4 linked regions of the Caenorhabditis elegans genome follow. The protein of the gene in region 1 purifies or fractionates together with the protein of each later gene. This does not show direct contact. Each region holds a gene or a part of one and is shown on either strand. Other genes may lie near its edges.

What was found.
Region 2: the proteins of Y17G9B.8 (region 1) and Y48B6A.13 fractionate together in Caenorhabditis elegans (co-fractionation; one large-scale study listed by BioGRID). This does not show direct contact.
Region 3: the proteins of Y17G9B.8 (region 1) and R05C11.2 fractionate together in Caenorhabditis elegans (co-fractionation; one large-scale study listed by BioGRID). This does not show direct contact.
Region 4: the proteins of Y17G9B.8 (region 1) and nol-53 fractionate together in Caenorhabditis elegans (co-fractionation; one large-scale study listed by BioGRID). This does not show direct contact.

What each region holds. Positions count from the first base shown.
Region 1 is NC_003282.8:4,756,663-4,760,850, reverse strand, and holds Y17G9B.8 (SGF29 C-terminal domain-containing protein), read left to right. Parts: upstream 1-2,010; 5' UTR 2,011-2,220; intron 2,221-2,269; 5' UTR 2,270-2,733; coding exon 2,734-2,807; intron 2,808-2,853; coding exon 2,854-3,302; intron 3,303-3,349; coding exon 3,350-3,537; 3' UTR 3,538-3,674; downstream 3,675-4,188. Other genes in the region: memi-1 (MEiosis-to-MItosis transition associated), read left to right, coding at 424-903, 951-1,136, 1,186-1,377, 1,429-1,611; Y17G9B.11 (PID domain-containing protein), read right to left, coding at 3,909-3,989, 4,040-4,188.
Region 2 is NC_003280.10:14,220,360-14,228,015, reverse strand, and holds Y48B6A.13 (Diphosphomevalonate decarboxylase), read left to right. Parts: upstream 1-1,740; 5' UTR 1,741-1,756; coding exon 1,757-1,948; intron 1,949-4,104; coding exon 4,105-4,485; intron 4,486-6,371; coding exon 6,372-6,760; intron 6,761-6,822; coding exon 6,823-6,994; 3' UTR 6,995-7,077; downstream 7,078-7,656. Other genes in the region: men-1 (Malic enzyme), read left to right, coding at 1,288-1,425.
Region 3 is NC_003282.8:2,056,786-2,061,025, forward strand, and holds R05C11.2 (DUF38 domain-containing protein), read right to left. Parts: upstream 2,327-4,240; coding exon 2,211-2,326; intron 2,163-2,210; coding exon 1,418-2,162; intron 1,372-1,417; coding exon 1,093-1,371; 3' UTR 593-1,092; downstream 1-592.
Region 4 is NC_003283.11:19,000,146-19,007,262, forward strand, and holds nol-53 (Ribosome biogenesis protein NOP53), read left to right. Parts: upstream 1-1,810; coding exon 1,811-1,910; intron 1,911-2,148; coding exon 2,149-2,735; intron 2,736-4,090; coding exon 4,091-4,365; intron 4,366-5,694; coding exon 5,695-6,049; 3' UTR 6,050-6,571; downstream 6,572-7,117. Other genes in the region: tgt-2 (Queuine tRNA-ribosyltransferase accessory subunit 2), read left to right, coding at 283-681; Y39B6A.34 (COA8 family protein Y39B6A.34, mitochondrial), read left to right, coding at 875-972, 1,195-1,440, 1,559-1,643. UniProt on the Caenorhabditis elegans protein: May play a role in ribosome biogenesis, being required for integration of the 5S RNP into the ribosomal large subunit.

The sequences.
Region 1 (4,188 bases):
TCGAACGAATTTTTGTCGTTTTCTGATATTTCAATCTTGATTTAAATAATTATTAAAAACTTTTAATTACCATTATTTTTTCAACAAAAAAATGAAGAAAACAAAAAAACAAATCCAAAACTATTTTTCAATGAATATTGTACTTTTTATGAATGCTTCGTCTATTTGACCTATTTGACGTATTTGATCCCCCCGTCGAAAAACCAGCGCAACTATTTCATATAGGCTCAACGAATTTTTGATCGTGAATCTTCTTCTTCTTTGCTGACACTCACAAAAACTGATGAAGTTTTTTAAAAAATGGTTTTATCGATAAATTATTATTAATCTGCCAATCACTTCAGTACATTTACTTTTTTTTTAGTTTTCTCTTTCATTTTTGCTTCAAATTTTTTATAAAATTTTAAATCAACGTTTTTCAGAATGTCAGCTCCATCTCGCACCGTCCTTCGCGATTTGACGGCGACCAGATACGTCGCCAACTACGCCGAAGAAGATCGCTTGGAAACCGCTCGAGCCGGTTGCTCTTCCCTCCCACCACAACCCAACATCAATCATGATGTAATTATCGAAGGGCACGGAGAAGATGTGGAGCTCGTCGAAGATGAGAACTACTGTTCCGTTCATCGTATCGATGAGACTCCAAAGCTCGTCGACAAGAAACCGAGCAAGACAATCATCCGCGATGAAGCTGTCAAAGTGCTCCGGCACATTCAGACTGTGCCGATTGAAAATCTTCGTCTTAAGCGCTACGACTATTTCTCGCAAAGATGGTTCCACACGACCAGAGAATCGGAGAAAGCGCTTGTCGAGCACGTGTTTCTTCATCCCAACCAACGACCACATTATTTTGCCGCTCAGTGCCGGAAGCTGTCGGTCGAGGATATCTCTAGTTTGATTCTGGTTAGTTTCTTGGCCATATTTTTGATAAAGCATAAATCTCATTTCAGACTTCTCTCCTGACCGAACCGAAGGAAACGGGACAAAATGTGGCTCGATTTGCTATCCAGACAACCAATGAAATGTCGTTCCAAACGTTATTTGCATTGCTCGAACAACTAGAGAAGGAAAACGAAAGGTTCCAAATGACAGATAGCTTTGTGGTTGCAACCCTGATCCGATCACAGACGAAGAGAGTAAGTAAATCGGTTTTATATTACACACAAATAACTTTTCATGTTTCAGACTATCACTCGTCTCCTGAGAACCACACACTGCCGGGAATACGGAAATCTCGAGCCAGGACTCGATTCACAAGGCCGGCTGATGACTTCGACTGCATCAATCACGTGTTCAATTCGAGGAAAGCGCCACGTGGAAACGAGGATCGTGTACAAGAACAACTCGAGCACCAGGGATCCTTTCCGAAGAAATAGAGTGAGTTGTATAGCAATAATTCTATCGATTTCCAATTTATAACATTTTCAGTACATCGAATTGGAGCAAACGGTGAAGTGCATGAACCGGCGAGTGCTGATTGTCGAAGAGCCAGTCGAAATCCACGAATTCGAGGTCGAAAAGGATATGATCTCGCTGGAAAACGGAATTGCGCCAGTCGACGACCTGATCTCGTTTCTCGAAACATTCGAACTGGATGAAGAGGACGAGTAACTCCATATATGTCCTATAATTAGTAGTAATGTGCATAAGTCTGTATTATTGTATATGTATTTAAATAACCGAGTGGTTCCTGTTGAATATTCCAACTAACTTCCCCTATTTTATTTTCCTTTTTTGTTTTAGTTGTTTTATGTATATAGATTCTCCAATGCCCAAATTGTGACAACCCACGACTATTTTGTTTATATTCGACATGTATATTGCCCGCATTTATTTTGATTTTTTTTCAAAGATGAATTTGTTTGAGGTATAATTTTACAATGCATTACTGCTCTGATTGATTGATTAGAATATGAATTTCAACTATTCCCGGCTTTTCACTGGTAAATTACTCCATATACGTTATTTTCCCACCGCAACAACCTGGCCTTTTCATTGCCTCATTCACAGCATACGACTTGTAATGTCTGCACTCTCCCCGTCTCATCACGTAATCAGGTCTCTCTCGATTCTTCCCGTTTAAATATATATCTGCTCTATTGCACCTCTTCATTTCCTTGTTCAGGAAAATAGCATAATTTCAAAATGCCTCGGAAGAAGAACGATGTGCAAATCACCGAGGAAATGAAGAAGAAAACCGCCGAAGAGGTTATCAAAAAGGTGAGTTTTATTTATTTATTTATTCCTAGTTTTGAAATTAATTTTCCAGCTGCCAACAGTGAAATCGAAGCAAGACGCTATCAACGAGAATCTGCAAAAACTTCAAGAATTCCGAGATAATGAGCCGAACCCCTATGGAAAGGGTAAAGTGGGTTTTTTTAAACAATTTTTATAACTAATTTTTGCGAAATCCAATCATTAAAAATTCAATATAAATACAGTAGTCTGTTTAAAGGGGCACGTGGTTGTACGGCTGGGTCTCGCCACGATTTTAAAGTTTTCTTGCAAATATCAATTAAAATCTTAACAAAAGAAATCAATGAAGACCAAGTTTTAGATAAATTTTTAAAATTTGAAGTAAAGTTTTGAATAGTTTCAACAAAATTTTCGGGGCAATTGCCTCGAAAATCTGTTCAAATTTGCAATCTGTACAAATTCGGCGATTTCTGCATGCTGTGCACAAATTCGGTTGAAATCTGGGTATATTCTGAACGGGTTTACTGAGAAGTTTCCATGGTTTTCGATGGAATTTCACATTTTGTCACCAGCACTCATCGATCTGTGGAATCACAACAATCATTCATTAGGTTCGTTTTCATCTTTAATCTCTCAAAATTAAAATAAATATTACAGAAATCTTTTGGACGAAGTAAAACGTGTTGCTGAAATGGATTATCGCTCCCAAATGGCCGGAGACATCAGTCGGAGAGATTTAATGGAACTGATCAAGGTTCGCGGCGACCTTCTTCCATTATGGACCAGCCATGACACACAATTTCCTGGAGAATATGTTGGAGCTATTGCACCACAGGATGGCTCGAAACTAGGCGACGGAGATTCAGTGGCGGCATTCAGTAAAGACGGAAACTGGATTCTTGCTGATATTGTCACATGTCACTCTAACTCGCGATATGAGTGTCGAGACGTTGATGATGACAAGAAGAAGTTGACAGTTTTCGCGAGAAGCCATTTGTTACCCCTCCCAAAATGGAAAGCGAATCCTGCATCAGACAAGCATGCACTTTTCGAGAAAAATGCGATTGTGTTGGCGTTGTATCCACAAACCACTTGCTTCTACAAAGGTACCAATTTTCACAAAAGTTTCAAAAATAAAATAATTATTTTCCAGGAATAGTTCACTCCCCGCCAGCAGATTTTCGAGAACCATATCAAGTAGCGTTCGAAGACGACAGCTATGCATCAGGATTCTGCCCTCCAATGCCGGTTGCTCAGAAATACGTGGTTGCCTTCCGAGAAGTTGCAGGGCTCACTGCATCAACTGCTCCAAAAAAGGGAAATGGCCACAAAAAGAAATGAGGCCATAATCCAATTAATTGACAGTATTTATTGTATGTAACTCCTAAAAATCCCGGAATTCCTTCTCATAAATCTCACAATGTTTTTTATTTGTCCATAAAAGTTGTTCTTATCAAAAATAAAACGTGTTATTATTGGCGGCAACATTATTCGAAAATTATACAAGAGAAATAATTCAGAGAGTGCAGAAAAAATTAGAAAGTGATCCAATGCGTGGTCTTGATTATTAAAAATTAACGTGATTTTAAAACCAGAAAAACATTTTGATTAATATATCTGCACGATCTACAATGATAAATAGTACATAGCCGTCATCCCATCATTCCTTCTCACATCATAACCACCTTTGACAGGATACTCGTCACATCCCGTCAATCCCAACGGCAAAAGAACAAAAAATTCTCTATCCACAGTCTCCTCAGCATCGAAAGCGCACTAGAGATAGCTATCTGCTAGATATTCTATACCTTCAAAGAGTGATTCGAGAAGATCTTCGTCTCACCTGAATGCAGTAAAATCGAAATTCGCAGATTCCAGTTTCCTGTCGACTCCGTGAATCCAGTGTTTCAAAAATATATTGACATCTTTGATTCTTAGATAAGCGACGAATGCGGAAGCATTTGTCACTATTTAGTACATCATTAAGATCAT
Region 2 (7,656 bases), on another chromosome or scaffold:
AAATGACAAAAAAAGACTTTTCCCCACCCGAAAAAATTGATTTTCCTCACTTTTTAATGCAAAAAATGGCCGTGTACCGATTTACGCGAGTCGTGTACTCCTCGAGGAAAAGAATAATTTTTCATGGAAAAAAGCATTTTTAGCTGAAAAACATGAAAAAATTTTGAAAAATACCTTCAAAAATGATTTTTAGACAATTTTATGCCTAAAATTGAAAAATTCTACTTATTTCTGACGATTTTTCCGAAAAAAACTGCTGAAAATATAATTTTTCACATTTTTTTTCGAATGCAAAAATATGACCGTGTGTCGATTTACGCGGTTCGTGTACTCCCCGAGGAGAATTTCCGAATTTACTATTCGAATTGCTCATTTTCATAGGTTTTTTTCCGGTGAAAGTACGATTTTTCTGGTTTCTAGTGCATTTTCAGCAGTAAATTCATTTATTTTCACTAAAAACTTTAAAAAATCAATAAATTAGGTGATTTAAATCGTTAAAAATCAAAAAATCAGCAAAAATGGACTACTTTTAGCCTAAAACGTGAATTTCCTTGCAAAAACAACGCAAACTTCTCCTCGGGGAGTACACACGAGCCGCAGATTAATCGACACTGCAAAATTCGAGTTCCTCGTAAAATTTCGCCCCTAGTCGTCTTTTTTTTGGAGTCTCTAGCTCAATTTTGAAAATTTCCGGGTTACTGTAGCCTCAGAAGTACGCAGAGCTTCGGTGTTTGCGTACTTGGCACCGGATTCTACGATATTTCGTTTAAATGAGCTGAAAATTGTTAATTAAAGTATGCTGATTCTGAATTTCGGGTTGAAAATGTCGGGAAATTTCGGGAAATTTCGGATTTTTCTGGAAATTTCAATTTTTTAAAGAGAAATTTTGCTTCTTTTTTTTTTTGGGAAATTTTAATTTTTTGAAAATTTCGATTTTTTTGACCTTGAACTTGGAAATAAAAGTGAAAAATTGATTCTAAAAATAATAGTTTCCCCTAAAAATTGTCAAAAATCTTAAAATTTTTCAAATATTTTGGAATTTTTTGAGAAATTTCAATTTTTAACCCGAAATTTCCGAAAAAAATCTCAAAAAAAAGGAAAATGAGAAGTTAAAAAACGCAATTTTCCCCTAAAAAATTGTCAAAAATTTTGGGATTTTTTGAGAATTTTTAATTAATTTTTAACTAGCAATTTCTCAAAAAATTTGTTAAAAAATTTCGTAAAATTGGTTAAAAGTTTGTGCTTTTTTTTCAGTTTTAAATTTATAAAAAATTTGAATTTTTCCAGGAAATGTTCATTCGCCAGAACCTGTACAGTGTTGAGTATGATGAGCTGATCAATAAGACTTACGAATGGCCAGCCAAGGATTCGAAACACGGTTTCCCGGTTCCAGTGTTGAGAAGAACCTCGATGGACGAGGAATAATCTTTTATTTTATCGTTTTTTTTCCCAATTTTTTTCGCATTTTTCTCTAGTCTCTCTCTCCATCTCTCTTTCCCGCGTAAATACACCCTATTTTACCTTTTTACCCCTAAAAATTCATTTTTTTTTCACAAAGTTCTTAATGTCTACGTGTATAGCATAATCCTATGGATTTTTAGATTATACAAAAATTTAATTATATAAATTTACATGTAAATTTAGCTTGTTAGGGCATTTTTCCAGTTTTTTTTTGTTCCTGTTGGATTTCCAGATTTTTGCCGCTTTTTTTGGTCACTCCGTTTTCCAGCAATTTTTCAGATTTTTTGCCACCAGAATGAGCCAAGACGATGGAGCAGCGGAGGCGGAGGCGACGGTCCGAGTTCCGATGAACATTGCACTTGTCAAGTATTGGGGAAAACGAGATGATCTACTCATTCTGCCGCTCAATGATTCGATTTCACTGACCGTGGATCGGCTGACGGCGGAGACGACAATTCGGATGGTTCCTGGAGTTGGGAAGCATACGGTAGCGCGGAATTTTGGAGCGGGAAATTTTTTTTGTTGAAAAATCTGGTTTCCATGAAAAATATCGAAAAATTTGAGAAAAAATGACTTTTTTCCCTCAAAAAATGCCATAAATATTACCCAAAAAAGCGAAGTTTGCTATTTTTGCGCAAAAAATACGGTACCCCGAGTCTCGAAACGACCGAATTTTTGTTAAATGCAAAATGCAAAGATGTGATGCGCCTTTAAAGATACTGTAGTTTCAGAATTTTTTAAAATTGATTTTTCATAGTTTTCCGCTAGGGAAAATCAATAAATTCTGATTTGAAACTACAGTACTCTTTAAAGGCACACATCTTTTGTTTTTAACAAAAAAATTTTTGTCGTGGCGAGACCCGGTAATGTATTTTTGGCGCGAAAATCGTAATTTTCGCGTCTCGGTAATATTTTTAAAAAGTGAAAAAGACAAAAATCGTAGTTTTTCATGAATTTGAATATTAAAAAACCATTTTTTTTAATAAAAAAAAAAATTAAAATTCGATTTTTTTTTGAAACAAACCTTAAAAAATTCAAAATTTAATATTTTCTTTAAAAAGCAAAATTTTTAAATTTTGTATTATACTGAAATTCTTTTTTTAAAAATTTTTTCCCGAAATTTAAAATTTTTAATTCAGGTTTCGCGGAAAATCACGCAATAATTTTTCCTAAAATTGCAAAAAAAAATCAAAAAATAAAAAATTTCAGCTTGAAAATAATTTTGTCGAAAATATATTTTTCAAAAACAAACCCTTATTTTAAAGAATTATAGATCAAGAGTCATTGGAAAATCAGAATTTCAGAGTTTTTTCTGTGACTTTCATTATTTTAAGTTTGAAAATATCGAAAATATTGTAAAAATCAAATATTCTAATAGAAAAAGTTATTTTTTAAAAAAACTCAAATTAATTTAAATTCCTGAAAAAAATTGAAATTATCCCAATTTTTTACATTTTTATTCGAGAACCCAAAGCATAATATTTTTCTCGGAATTTTAGAAAAAAGTCTAAAAATTAAAATTTTTACAAAATTAATTTTTTTGAAAAATGTGAAAAAATTTAAAGGTGGTGTAGTCGAATTTTTTAGTGCTTTGTTAGACTCAAAATTGTCTGAAAACACCGAATTTCATAATGAAACTTTTTGAAATCTTTTCAGAAAAAAGTTATGACGGCTCAAAAAATAGCTTAAAGTTAGTTAAAATCGGAAATTGTCTGGAAACTTACTTTTTTGAAATCGCCGTAAAATTTGAAGTATACAAGTTGATTACCTTGCGTTTTAAACTTGGTTAAGGTATTTAAAAATCGATGGACGGCGATGGATTTTCAATTTATTTGAGCCAAAACTCGCCGTCCATCGACTTTAAAATACCTTAATGAAGTTTAAAACGCGAGATAATCAACTTGTACACTTCAAATTTTACGGTGATTTCAAAAAAAAACTGTGTCCAGCCGCTGACAAGTCAAGTTTCCGATTTTAACTAACTTTAAGCCATTTTTTGAGCCGTCATAACTTTTTTCTGAAAAGATTTCAAGAAGTTTCATTATGAAATTCGGTGTTTTCAGACAATTTTGAGTCTAACAAAGCACTAAAAAAATTCGACTACACCACCTTTAAATGTTTTCACATTTTTCAAAAAAATTAATTTTGTAAAAATTTTAATTTTTAGACTTTTTTCTAAAATTCCGAGAAAAATATTATGCTTTGGGTTCTCGAATAAAAATGTAAAAAATTGGGATAATTTCAATTTTTTTCAGGAATTTAAATTAATTTGAGTTTTTTTTTTAAACAACTTTTTCTATTAGAATATTTGATTTTTCCAATATTTTCGATATTTTCAAATTTAAAATAATGAAAATCACAGAAAAAACTCTGAAATTCCAGATTTTCCACTGACTCTTGATCTATAATTCTTTAAAATAAGGGTTTGTTTTTGAAAAATATATTTTCGACATTTCGGAAGTAAAATTATTAAATTATTTTCAAGCTGAAATTTTTTATTTTTTGAATTTTTTTTGCAATTTTAGGAAAAATTATTGCGTGATTTTCCGCGGAACCTGAATTAAAAATTTTAAATTTTTCACTGATTTCTCAAAATAGCCACAAAAAACTCTTCAGAAAATTCCTAAATTCTCCATTTTCCAGGTAGAAATAAATGGAAAATCAGTGGAACTGAGCTCCAACAAACGATACCAAACAGTCTTCGATGAGGCTCTCCGACTTCAGAGGAAACGAAAAGAAGCAGAAGCATCATCGGCGGATTCAAATGGAAATGATCCTCCGCCGATCTTCTACCATTTCCACGTCACCTCGACTACGAATTTTCCGGTTGCAGCTGGGCTGGCATCCTCGGCCGCCGGATTTGCTGCAATTGCATTGGCAATTCAACGGATTCTACGACTAGATGATTCTCAAGCGAATCGGCTCGCAAGAATTGGATCAGGAAGTGCCTGCCGGAGCATGTATGGAGGATTGGTGCATTGGAGGAAAGGGGAGATGGATGATGGATCGGATTGTTTGGCTGTGGTACGGGAAGTCGAGAAAATTCAGTGGAAATTGGAATTTTTGGAGCAAAAAATCGAGATTTTGGCACTTTTTTTACTCTACAATGACAAAAAAAGCTCTAAAAATCACACTGCAACTTTTTCCTCACGAGGGACGAGGAAAAGTGGTTTCTAGGCCATGGCCGAGGGGCCGACAAATTTCAGCGGTCATTAATCTTGCTTTGTTTTCCGCCTGTTTTCTTTTGTTTTTCACAGATTTTTCCCGTTTTTTCTTATTAAAACTGATAAATAAATACTTTTTGCAGATGCTAAAACATTTTCCAAGTAAAAAAATTATGTATTCAGTGGGCAAGCAGCGGTGAAAGTGGTCAATGCAATATGATGGATTACGGGAATACAAAACCTAAACTTTTTCTGAAACATGATACATGTGCTGCTTAAATGCTGAGACTACCTGATTTTCATAACGAGACCGCTGAAAAAGTTTTGAGGTTTTTAAAATTCAACTTTTTGTGCGAAAATCTCGACTTTTTCACCAAAAAAGTTGAATTTTGGAAACCTCAAAACTTTTTCAGCGGTCTCGTTATGAAAATCAGGTAGTCTCAGCATTTAAGCAGCATATGTATCATGTTTCAGAAAAAGTTTAGGTTTTGTATTCCCGTAATCCATAATTTTACATTGCCCACTTTCACCGCTGCTTGCCCACTGAATACACTTTTTTTTACTTGGAAATTGTTTTAGCATCTGCAAAATTATTTATTTATCAGTTTTATTAAGAAAAAACGAAAAAAATCGATGAAAAACGAAAGAAAACAAGCGGAAAACAATACAAGATAAATGGCCGCTGAAACTTGTCGGCCCCTCGGCCATGGCCTAGAAACCACTTTTCCTCGTCCCTCGTGAGGAAAAAGTTGCAGTGATCAGGATTTTTTTCCGTTTTTTTTATTTCAGAAATTTTTTTACAAAAACTTTTTTTTTTTTGATTTTCCGTAAAATCAAAAATTGGAAAATTTCCACATTTTTAGTCATTTTCTGAGAAAAAAAAAAGAAAAATTGTTCACTTTTTCAGAATTTTTCGTCTGAAAACTCAATTTAAGTGAAAAAGGTCATATATTAGAAAATAAAAACCGAGCACAAAGCGGAAACAATCAAAAATTTGAAAATTTTCCCAAAAATGAGAAAAAACCAAAACAGAGCAGACGAAGAGTTATACAAATACTCGAAAATTGAAAAAAAATCAATTCCAGCCGCCAAATTAAATCGGTGGCCGAGGCTTTTTCAATGGTTTTGATTTTTTTAAGGGAACTTATTACAGGAACACTAAATTCTGAGAATGCGTATTAGGCAACATATTCGACGCGCAAAATATCTCGTGGCGAAAACTACAGTAACTCTCTAAATGACTGTCGATTTACGGGCTCGATTTTCGAAACGAATTTCTGTTCGAAAGCCCGTAAATCGACACAAGCTCTACAGTAGTCATTTAAAGAGTTACTGTAGTTTTCGCTACGAGATATTTTGAGCGTCAAATATGTTGTGCAATACGCATTCTTAGAGTTCAGTGTACTCGTATTAAGTTTCCTTTAAAAAATCAACCATTGGAAAAACTTCGGCCACCGATTTAATTTGGCGGCCAGAAATGGTTTTTTTAATTAATTTTCGAAAAATTTTATAACTCTTCATCACCTCTGGTTTTAAAAAATAATAATTTTTCTGAAAAATGTAGAGATTATAACTGAATTAATGAATTTTCAGATAATAAAACCCTGGAAAAGTGAAAAAAGTTTCGATTTTTTTCTCAAAAAATAACTAAAAATTTGAAAAATTTGTATATTTCGATTTTACGGAAAATTAAAAATAAATCAATTAAAAAAATTAAATTTAAAAAAATAAAAACTATATTTCCAGAGAACAGAAGCCGCCGCCAACTGGGAAGATCTCTACTGCATAATTCTAGTCTTCGACGATGGCCGCAAAAAAGTGGGCTCCAGTGAAGGAATGCGAAGATCACGAGAAACATCTCAACTTCTCAAGCATCGCATTGAATCGATAGTTCCTCAACGAATCCAACAAATCCAGGAAGCGTATACTTCACGGAATTTCGAGCAGCTCGCACGCGTCATCATGGCCGATAGCAATCAATTCCACGCGGTTTGCATGGATTCTACGCCGCCAATTCGGTATTTGAATGAAGCATCGTGGCAGTTAATCGACACAGTTGAAGAGTTTAATATTGGAGGAATTCGAGCTGCTTATACATTTGACGCCGGTCCGAATGCGTGTGTTATTGTGCAAAAGTAGGTGGTGGAAAAAATTGATTTTTGAGGAAAAATATTAAAAACAAATATTTTTTTTTCAGAGAAAATGCGTCTCAATTCCTGAAAGCTGTGCTCCAAACTATCCAAGTCCCTTCAGAAGATCTACAAGTCATTGGAAAAGAGCTCGCCGAGCAATTTGACGTCCCAGCGGAGCCGACGACGAAATGCTCCAAATTAATTATGAGCCCAATGGGTGGCGGGCCTCAGGAATAGGAATCTTTTATAATTATTGTTGTTCTTGTTGAATTTTTATTGTTTTTTAAATATAGATAGAATATATGAATTAATTTGATATTTAATATTTGTTGATAAATATACAAAAAAAAATATAAAAAACAATTCTGAAAAAAATAAATAAAAACTCTACGAATTTTCAGAGATCGGAGCGGCTCAACAACTGGAGCAATTTCGAAAATATAATGTTCGTAATTATTTCTAAGTTTGTGTTGTCTCAGAGCCATGTCTGAAAAAACAGATTTTTTTTCGAAAATTTTAAAAAGTTCGTAGAAATTGGATTTTTGACAAATCTATGCTCTCTTTTTTTGTTTGAAATTTAGTTCAGTGACATACAATTTCAAAAATATAATGTTCGTAATTATTTATAAGTTTGTGTTGTCTCAGAGCCATGTCTGAAAATTTTAAAAAGCTCGGAGAAAAAAATTTTTTTGTTTGAAATTAATTCGATTTTGAACATTTCTACTATCTTTTTTTTAAAACATGTATTTCAGTGAATAGAAGACTCAAAATTATAATGCTCGTAATTATTTATAAGTGTGTGTTGTCTCAGAATCAATTCTAAAAAACAGATTTTTTTCGAAAGTTTAAGTTATATCCGCGGAAAAAATTCAATTTAGGACATTTCTATTATCTTCATT
Region 3 (4,240 bases), 2.7 Mb from region 1:
ACATTTTAGCATGTTTTTTTTAATGTAAGATATTGAATTCCCCGCCCCCCGGATCATTTGCTCAATTTCTTCTATGAATTTATTGATTTTTTTTCAATCACCCGGCTTCTTCAATTTTTCTGTATTTTTGTGATTTTTTTCGAATTTTTTGGTTAAAAATTCATCATTATTCGGTGCTTTTTCTCATGTGCTTCTTTCAAAATTCTTCCATGTTTGTTGGAATATATGGAATTTTTATGTAAAAATCTTCGATCTCTGCGCTTTTTGCTTCAATAAAAAAATTTAATACCGCGGAAACATTCGTTTGAAGAAAATTTCTTAATTAAGAAAAAGTTCAATTATCACCTTTTCCAGCAAGTTTCCAGCTTGAAATTTTTTATTTATTTAATTATTCAATCATTTCTCATAGTGAGACTTATTATTGATTTATGCTTTCATTTTGTCAAAGTGCGTCCATTTTGTATATATATATATTTTTTTTTTTTTTATGTTGCACAATATTTTCAGGTTAAACAAATATTTAGATACATTTAACTTTACCGTAAAATATGAAAAGGTGCACAGTAAATTGAGAATAATTAAGAAATAAATGTTTAAATTTATTATAAGTGAATTTATTTATTTATAAAAATAGTACGTGAAATATCTATATCCACGCCATTAAAAATTATATTTAAACGTACAAAAGATTCATGCACATGAAAGTATTGTTTAAATTAGGGTTCCCAGCTGAGTGAGGCGCAAAATGCGGGCCTCACGCCGGCCTCACGCCGGCCGGCCTTCGCCTTCGCCGTTCGCCGCTTTCAATAATAATGACGTGAATTTTAAATTTTAATTTTCAAAAATTCGTTGAAAATTTAGAAAAAAAATATAAGAAATGAAAATAAAAGTTTATGTGTAATTCAGTGAAAGGCGAGAGTGACGCCGTGAGGCCGGCGCGGCGACCGCTGAGGCGGGCGAAGGCGCCTTTGCGGCGACCTCATGGGAGCCCTAGTTTAAATCAGGTGAAAAATTAATATTTGAAAAAAAAATCATTAGGGACAACTTTTCGTCCCGTTGGCGAGGAACAGGGAAGTGACCTTTACAACAGCTCTAGCACCTAGCCGGACTAGATTCCCTCGGAATAGCCGGACTAGATTCCCTCGGAATACGATTAAACATGAATTTTTTAAGATTTTGATAATATCGAATTTGTAGATCATCTGTGTCGTTCATGCAATTGAAAAACCAAATGCTAGGTTGATTATTTGTAGAATCGGTAACTATGCGAAACGGAATTCCCAAAAATCCTTCTTGAAATATAGAATTATTTACGTCACTGTTCACAAATGTGACCTTGAACTGGAGAAAGTCCGGTGAAACTAGGAACATCTGAAATTATTTTTTTTTAAAAATTACATGAGATATTCGAACTCACATCTCTCAAATATATAACATTTTTCAATGATAACGAATCCAAAATTATGTCAACTTTTCTGAAGTGAACAAGATTTTCAACATCACACTTGATAACACGCTTAATAATTGTCAACTCTTTCGCATTCCTCCATTGTTCCATGACCAAAAACTCTTCAATGCTCCATACATCACTTGCAGGTACGTCGAAAGATGTTCCAAACTCAATTTTGTTCAGCTTAGAGGGATCCACGGATTGGAGCAGTTGCACTATGGTTTTTTGGTTTCTTGTTGTGACAACCAACTTTTCCACTGGCAGCAATCGACCCAGCGAGGCGTGCAAATCTTTGAACGATTTCAAAAATCGATTCTCATTCTGGTCCCAGATTGAATGACTTTCTGTTTCCTGGGGATTCCCCTCAATTTCATCCATGTATTTTTTTTCTTCTTCCGTAACATCCTTGAAACTTGACTCGCTGGTTTCATCAACTTGCATAAAATTCATTTTAAGTTCTTCCAAAGCAGATTTTTGATTTTTCAAAATAAGGAACAAGTCGTTTGAAAAGTTGCCGTAATCCAACTCGCTAGATTTTCTGGATAATCTTGAAGCCTTATATGAAACTTTTCGGTTTGTGGATTCGGTAAACATCTCAAGAAGTGCGCACCCAATGCTTTGAACATGAATGCCGATTTTGAGTAATTTATGGTCTGGTTTGATAAGGTCGATGCACTGACGGCTTCCATAAGAAATTTTACGGAGCACTTGTCTGAAAAAATAAAATTCAAGCTAAAAAAAATCAAAAGACTTTACATACATATCAAAAAAATCGAGACGTTCAACAACGCTGTTCATAATCACAGTGTTGTAGAACCACAAAGTGCTTGATATCGATGAGCCAGAAACTTCAGACAAAAGCTTCGTTTCATCCATTGTCAGCTGCTCTAGCTGGTTCTGAATAGTTGCATTGTTAACAATAATTTCGTTTCGTGCAAGTATTACACTGTAGGAGAAATAAAATATGCCTGTTCTGTGCTAACTCTAGCTTTTTCTCGTGTCGGGCCATAAATTGAGCAAGATTTTGGCAAAACTTGGTTTAGGTTGCTCTTGATCTGCCACTCTTATCTAATTAGGAAATAATGTTAATTGGACATTAAAAAAGACAGAAGTGAAATGGAAGATCAGATTTTTGGCTACATGAGTTTTTTTGGGGTTACCTGGAACTTAGCAGAATAAAAAAGAATTTAAAAATGATTGCAATGTTCCTATTCGTGTATTTTTTTTTTTCGAAAGTTTTCGAAATTTTTTGTGATGTCTCATTATGAAATTCGGTGGTTTTGGACCAGTTTTAGTCTATTTAAGCAAAATATCCACAAACTCTACTCCCCCTTTAAGTTGATTCACAATTTGGAGAAAAATGCAAATTTAACGAAAATCTGAACTTTTGCCATGATGTCAATGTTATGCCGCAGTGACCGAAAGTTGAAATAATTTAATTCGCACTCTAGTTTGCATGTGGTAATTGGTACATTCAATTTCTAAGTCACAACATCTTGACAGTTTTTCCACACAGCAGGACACACGAATTCTTTTTCAGCATCAGATTTTGTCAGCTCCAAAACTGTTGTACAGGCTCACCTGCTAAAGGTCACTCTCTCGCAAAATATGTAGGAGGCAGTTATATTGCCTGTGTATCTCTACAAACTCAACTCTCTCTATACGCTCACAGGCCACTCCCGTTGTGGGGGAAAAACGGTCAAGATGTTGTGACGTAGAAATTGTAGGTACCAACTATGCTCACTTACCAATTATCAACATGCATAGTCGGTACCTTTTCACTAGTCAAGAACATTGATCACATAGAGTCTACAAATTTTCTGACCGAATATATGTTAATTGGAAATAAAAGAAAAGAGCCAAACTTTCGACGCTTTCACTAATTAAATAATTTTTCTGGGCTTCTTTCCGTTAGTTTTTCGTTGTTCTTTTTGTTGCATAGATTGCATAGCAAAAATAATTTATTCATAGGAAAATTGACAACTGACAAAATTGCCGAAAAAAAATCTAAATAACCCCTATGCAAATTTAGCTATTTACCTGTTAAGTTTTCCAGGTTTTCATAAATTCCCCAAATCCAAGTACTGCTCTAAAACAAATAATCTAAAAATTGTCCAGCTTGAAAAACAAATACCCATCTTCCCAACGTCTTCCAGGAAATTCTAACCGCAATAATATTTTCCTGCATTGCATCCAGATGTTAGTTATTGGAAATATATGAACATGCGAAACGGAAACCAATATTTTCTTGGAACATCTTAAAATGAATGAGATTAGTTTTTCTTTGTATAGAGCTTCTTTACACCTATTACCCTACTCATATGAGTTGATTAAATGTATGGGTACTGTAAGGGTACGGTAGTTAAACTCAAAACTGAACTGTTATTATAATTCTTGCCTACTAATATTTACTGTTGAATTTAGTCATTACGGCCCATTTTCTATTATTTAAAGCAAAAAAATTGACTCTACTCCAGTGGTGGGCGGCAAACGATTTTTTCCGGCTAATCAGCAAATTACCAGAATTGAAATTATAGGCAAATCGGCCAACCAGAAAATTGCCGATTTGCCGGAAAAAACACTTCCGGCAAATTGATATCCGACAAATCGGCAAACCGGCAAATTACCGGAATTCAAAATTCCCGGCAAATCTGCAAACCGGCAAATTGGCACAATTGAAAATTCCCGGCAAACCGGCAAATTGGCCGAATTGAAAATTCCCGGCAAATTCTCTAACCGGAAAATTTCAGGCAAGTCGATTAACCGGCAAAGTGCCGGAGTTAAAAATTT
Region 4 (7,117 bases), on another chromosome or scaffold:
TATTTCCGATAGAAATTTCCGATTTTCAAGCCGAAATATGCGAAAGTTCACCGAAAATCACACATTTCTGGGCAATTTTTCATTATTTTCCACCAGAAAATCACTAATTTCTTCAAATTTTTGAATTTTCCATAGAATTTCTGCTTGAAAATCCAAAAACCTGAATTTTTGGCGCTGCTAACCACACAAAAAGCACAATTTCCTCGGATTTTTAACTGAAAATCCCGGATTTCTAGCGGAAATGGTCGATTTTTCCCCAAAAAATCATGCATTTTTTTCCAGAGCCCACTTCCACCTACAAAACTCCGATGTATCTCAGGACCTTTCAACCCAAAAACCGTGCTTTTCCTCGTCCAACAAGGAATCGATCTGTTCGACTCGTCATTTCCAGTTAAATTGGCCGAAGAAGGCCACGCGTTCTGTCTTTCAGACGATTTTCCGACGTCTTCGAAATATGAAGTAGTGGATTTCAATAATGAGAAGTTCGCCGACGATTTTACCGCACTTTTCGACGGATGCGCCTGCTATACGTGCACAAAATACACTAAAGGATACCTACAACACCTTCTGAACACCCGAGAGCTTCTGGCTTCGATTTTATTAGTTATTCATAATATGACAGAGTATGATAAAATGTTTAAGCTTATTCGGAGCTCGTTGGAGAATTCTGAAGGATTGTGATTGGTTTTTTCAAATTTTTTTTGTTGATTTTATATACTCTATTCTTGTTATTTTTTCACTTGTTGGTTTCTTAATTTAATTAAACACCTTTTATTCAGCGTTTTATTGCAATTTTCCCGGTAAAAACTCCGGTTTTTTATATATTTCCTATAATTTTTTCCCTATTTCCCCAAAATTCAGCCTAATTTCCCAGATGTCATCGATTTCCTCCTCCTCATCAAATGTCCGAATGGATCGCCGATTCGATTGGGTTGGACCGCCGGATAATTTATCGAAAATTCGCAAAATTATGTGAGAAAATCCTGAAAAATACGCTGAAAATAAATAATTTTCGCAATTTTTAGCGCTGCCGCACGGAAAAGTGGGCGGAGTTTGGTGACGCAACACCTCCGCGCACTTTTCCATTTGTTAACGAAAACTAGATTTTAATCAATTTTCGTCGGTTTTCAGCGAAATTTTCCCATATTTTTTGCCAAAAATCTGTTTTAAAAATTATAATTATTGATTTTCCAGGCTCCGCCGCGTCGATAATGAGTCGGAACTCGAGCGGCAGTATCGGCTGGCTCGGGAAGAGCTGAATCAGTGGAATTCGGATTTTTGGGCCGAACACAATCAACTGTTCGACCGGCAAAAGTCGGATTTTGTCGAGCGAAAGCAGCAAGAGCTTGGAAGACTGGAACACGTGTCGGCGAACGAGCTCAGCGAGTTTTATCGCGATTTTTTGAATGATCGACACGTGGCGATGATGGCCTATAATAAGTGGGTGAAAATGCGGTGGAAATCGGATAAAATTGATTAAAATTGATGAAAATTCGCGAAAAATCGATTAAAATCCATGAAAATTGCTATTTTTCATGTAAAAAATCAATATTTTCAGAGAATGGTACCGCCGAAACCTGCAACTGATTTGGCCAGCACTCAAAGTCAACGTTGTCCGATTTTTCCGAATGGCGAGGCGTTAATTTGTAGATTTTTTGGGTAGTTTTAGTTGATTTCGTTGCTTTTTCCCCGATAAAAATGGGTTTTTTCTTGATTTTTTATCGTATTTCTTGAATTTTCAACGGGTTTTCCACCCTAATTTTACCTTTTTCAACCTTTTTTCCACTTTTTTGCCAATTTCCGCATTCAGATGGTCGCTGGAAAACGTACTGGAGCCGCGAAGGGCTCACGCCACAACAAGAAATATTGGAGAAAGGGAACGAATATCGATGATATTGAGGATTCGATTCGTAAGTTTATTTTCGAGCGATTGTCGCTGAAAAATCATCGAAATTTCCAGTATTTTGACGAAAAAACCAAAAATTTCCATTAAACATGGTAATTCTTTCAAAATTGCGACAAAAATCGGCGATTTTGGTTAATTTTGAGCGAAAATATGATTTTGGCGCTGCTAAGCTAATTTTAGGCAAAAATTCTCAATTTTTTCACGTTTTTAGGCTAAATTTCACTAATTTTTCCGATTTTCAGACATCAAATCCCGTCAGGCAGCAACTGGAGGTGTCATTTCTGAGATGAAAGACGAAGATCTGTTCATTGTCGATCGTACCGCCACCGCCAACAAGCCAGTCGTGCCGAAACTGACGAAAAAGCAGCAGGCCGCGTTGGAAAAAATCACCAAAAACATCACACAGGAGCATGTCACACTTCCAAAACCATCCACCACATCGAAAATTCTGAAAAAACCCGCCAAATTGCCACGTGGCAACGCGATTTTGGCGCTGAAAAAGGGGCCAAAAGCAGCGGCGCCGGCGGCGAAAAAGAAGAATTTCGACGTTTGGACGACTGATTTGACGCCGAAGATTCCGAAATCTAAGCTTGAGAATCAAGAAGCCGCAGAGCATTTTCTGAAAGTTGTGAAGAAAAAGCAGCCGAAAACGCCAGGAAAATCGATTACAAGTCTGCTTCCAGCAGTACAAATTGCCGAAGGAGGTGCTTCTTATAATCCAGAAAGTGCAGAATATCAGGAATATGTGGCGAAAATTGCCGGAGAAGAACAGAAATTGATTGATCACGAGGCGAAGATTAAAGCCGGAATTGAGCCACAGTGGGAGAAGGTGTGTGTAGGCGTTGAGAAGGAAGAAATTGGCTGGAAATTTGAGAAAAATTGGAGAAAATCCGAGAAAAATGGTCGAAAAATCGAAGAAAATGGCCTAAAAATTGTTGAAATTTAGATTTTGGCGCTGTTTAGACTACAAAAACTACAAAAAGCAGCTGCTACCAAAATTTTTTGGAGCGATTTAAATGGAAATTTAGCGAAAATAGAGAGAAATCCAACTGATTTGCTGAAAAAATTGGCGAAAATCGCAGAAAATAGATGAGAAACAGGAAAATTAGAGAAAAAATTGGCGAAAATTGGTGAAAAACCAGAGAAAATATGAAAAGTCGACGAATTTGGCTCAAAAATTGTTGAAATTCGAGTTTTATTGCTCTGAAAATTGCATTTTCATCTAGAAAATTTGGAAAATAGCGAAATTTTAACCAAAAAAATCGAGAGAAACTTGAATTTTTGCTCATCTAGAGCCTAAAAACATGAAAATTGTATTTTTTTTGGACGATTTTCAGCCAAAATCGGCAATTTTCAGGTGAAAAACAGGAGATTTTGGTCAAATTTTGTCCAAGTACCAACAAATTTTAGATTTTGGGCGCTGCTTAGACTACAAAGACTACAAAATCATGGTTTTTTACTCATTTTTCTTGATTTTGAACTAAAAATTGACTTTACTCCAGGTTTTTTTTGGTGAAAAATCAGTGAAAATCTAGATTTTCTCTTAAAAAATTCCCTAAAAGTGGCGTTTTTCACAACTTTTCCCGAAAAAATTGCACAAAAATAGGTGTAAAAGCCTGATTTTTAACATTTTGGCGTTGCTTTGACTACAAAAACGAAAAATTGAAGAAAAATGATGAACAATCGAAGAAAATGACCTAAAAGTCGTTAAAATTTAGATTTTGGCGCTGCTTAGACTACAAAAACTACAATTTTTGGCCGCTGCTAACTACAAAGACTACAAAATCATGGTTTTTTGCTCATTTTTCTTGATTTTGAACTAAAAATTGACTTTTCTCCAGCTTTTTTAGTGAAAAAATCGGTGAAAATCTTGATTTTAATCTTGATTTAAAAAGTGGCGTAAAAGTAACATTTTTCAAAGGTTTTCACAACTTTTCCCGTAAAAATTGCACAAAAACGGGTGGAAAAGCCTGAATTTTATATTTTTGGAGCTGCTTAGACTACAAAAACTACAAAAAATGGCCAATTTCAGTGGGAAAAATGGGAAAATTGTTTTAAAAACGTCATTTTCGAGGGTTTTTTTCGCAGTCAAAAAAGCCAATTTTTAGCTAATTTTTAAGCTGAAAAAGCCTGGAATTTGCTAAAAAAAAATCCCAAAATTTGCTATCAATTTGAAATTTCCAGGTGACCACAGAGCACGAGCGCTTCTTGGAAATGGCTGAAGGACTCAGAATTCATCCGAAATACGGAAAAGACGATGAAGAAGAAGAAGAAGCTGGAAATTCTGAAAAATCGATGAAAACTGGTGGAGAAGCGGAGCCAAAGAGCCAACGTGTCGAATGTGACCGTATGACAAAAGAGCAAAAGAAAAAGAAGGCAAAAGCACAGAAATTGGATAAAGAAGAGAAGCGTCGGCTTGAGGAAAAGGCCAAGGAGCAGGATTCACATAATGTCTATCGGTACGAGCTGAGGAGAAATGCTCGTTTTTAGCCGGAAAATTACAGGAAATTTTGAAGAAATGCTATATATAATTCGAAACAAAAACCTGAAAATTTGACAAATTTTCACGACGAGAATCGTAGAAAATCCGTAAAATTCAAGTTTTACAATTTTTTTTTGAGAGTATTTGGTGGAAATTCGGAAAAACTTTCCGCCGAATTTTCCTCTAAAAATCCAAATTTTCTGAAAATCCAAAAAAAAGTTTATTAAATTCTAAAATTAAATTTCAATTTTTTTCAGAATTCCAAAATTTCACCACATTTTTATTTAAAATTCGAAAAATTTCCAAAAAAACCGCGAAGTTTCTCCAAAAAAAAATTCAAATTTACTCCAAAAATTCCTAATTTCCATAACTTTGGCCAAAAAAAATCCAAAATATTCCAAATTTTCTCAAAAATTTCAAAATTCCTCTAAAAAAAACCCAAGATTTCATTTTAAAAAATGTCCCAAATTTCAAATTTTTTCCTAAAATTTCACAAAATGTACCGAATTTTCACCTGAAAAACGTGAAAAAGGCCAAGGAGCAGGATCGGTACGAGCTGAGTGAAATGCTCGTTTTTAGCCCTGAAAATTACAGGAAATTTTGAGAAAATGCGAAAAAATCCTGGAAATTTCCAGAAAAACGGCCCAAAAAACGAGAAAATCACGGAAATTTCGTGTAGAAATCGGTGATTTCCGTGAAAATTCTAGAAATTATCTATAAAATTGTAGAATATCATCGAGTAAATCCCCGAAAAATGCTGAAAATTCTGAAAATTTGTGCAAAATTTACATGGAAAATTGCTCGTTTTTAGCTCGAAGTTTCGAGAAGGCCGAAAATTTTTTTAGAAAAACCTCCCAAAAAGTTTAAAATTCCAGGAAATTTCTGTATTTTCAGCGCATTTTAACTCTGAAAATCGATGAAAATCGATATAAAAATCGGCATTTTTTGATAATTTCAAAGCTAAAACATGAAAAATGAATTTTTTTTTGGACGACGAATTTTTCAAAAAAAAAATTCCAAATTTTCATCTGAAAAATCCAAAAATTCAAAAATTTATTCAAAATTCCACATTTTTCGTAAAAAAGCCAAAACAAAAAAAGCCAAAATTATTCTTTTTTCTGCACAAAAAATTTGAAAATCTTTATATTTTCCTATGAAAAGTCAAAAAAAAGCGCCAATTTCTTCTTAAAAATCAAATTTTCACTAATTTTTCCAAATTTTTCACCTAAAAATCCAAAAATTGGCTAATTTTCACTAATTTTTCCAAATTTTTCACCTAAAACTACAAAAATCCCCAATTTTGCAGCACAAAACAACTGCACAAAGAGCTTGACGAAGAGGAAAAGCAGCGTCACGAGGAGTCGGAAGTCCGTAAAAAGGAAAAATTGATAAATAAACTGACAAAACGTCAGCAACTCGGAAAAGGAAAATTCGTTGACGCCGAAGATCCATTCCTTCTTCAGGAAGAACTAACTGGAAACCTTCGTCAATTGAAGCCACAGGGACACGTGTTGGATGATAGAATGAAAAGTTTGCAGAGAAGAAATATGCTTCCAATTGGTGGAGATAAGGAAAAGAGAAGAATTAAGAATCGTCTGAAGTCGAAAGTTGTCGAGAAACGAAGTGCCAAGAATATTGTCAAAGGAAGCCGTGTTATTTAAATTTTTTGTCGTTTTTTTTTGGTGATTTTTGAGGGAAAACGAGCTGAAAACTGGGGTTTTTAGTGATTTTTAACCTAAAAATTGATAATTTTTTTGGCAAATTTTGATTTTTTGACCAAAAAATTTGAAATTTTAGACATTTTTTATTCTGAAAATCTGATTTTCTGGCTTAAAACTGATTAATTTTGGCAAAATTCTAATGTTTTATAAAATTTAATTTAAATTTCATTTTTCTGTGGAAGAACTTCAAATTTTTGATGTTTTTCAACTCAAAACAAAAAAATTCCGATTTTCCCCAAAAAATGCCAAATTTTGCACCTTTTTAGCTAAAAGTTCAAAAAATTTCCATTTTCAATGGTATTTCACTACAAAATTCCCAATTTTCAGACATTTTTCCATCGAAAATCACCCCAATTTCACCCCAATTTCCATTTTTTTTCCAAAAATATCGTTGTTGTTCCCCTTCATTACTCTTTTATTTTGTTGTTAATTCGTTATTTTTTATCATGAAAAACTGTTTTTCTGAAAAATTTGAAATTTCCAAAAAAAAGCCGGAATTTTCAGGAAAAAGGTGAAATATTTCTAAAAGTCTGCAGAGAAGAAATATGCTTCCAATTGGTGGTGATAAGGAAAAAAGAAGAATTAAGAATCGTCTGAAGTCGAAAGTTGTCGAGAAACGAAGTGCCAAGAATATTGTCAAAGGAAGCCGTGTTATTTAAATTTTTTGAGCTTTTTTCGTGTTTTTTTGGTGATTTTTGAGCGAAAATGAGCTGAAAATTGGGGTTTTTAGTGATTTTTAACCTAAAAATTGATAATTTTGGCAAATTTTGATTTTTTGACCAAAAAATTTGAAATTTTGGGGAAAATTTTACCCTAAGATTTTATATTTTCGTCAAATTTCGAATATAGCTTTTTGTCTAAAAAATTTGAATTTTTGGCAATTTTTAGTCTAAAATTTTATAATTTTTTCAAATTTTGAATTTTTTGAGTGAAAACTGAAATTTTTAGTGATTTTTAACCTAAAAATTTGAAAATTTTTGCAAATTTTTAATATTTTAAGCTTTTTGA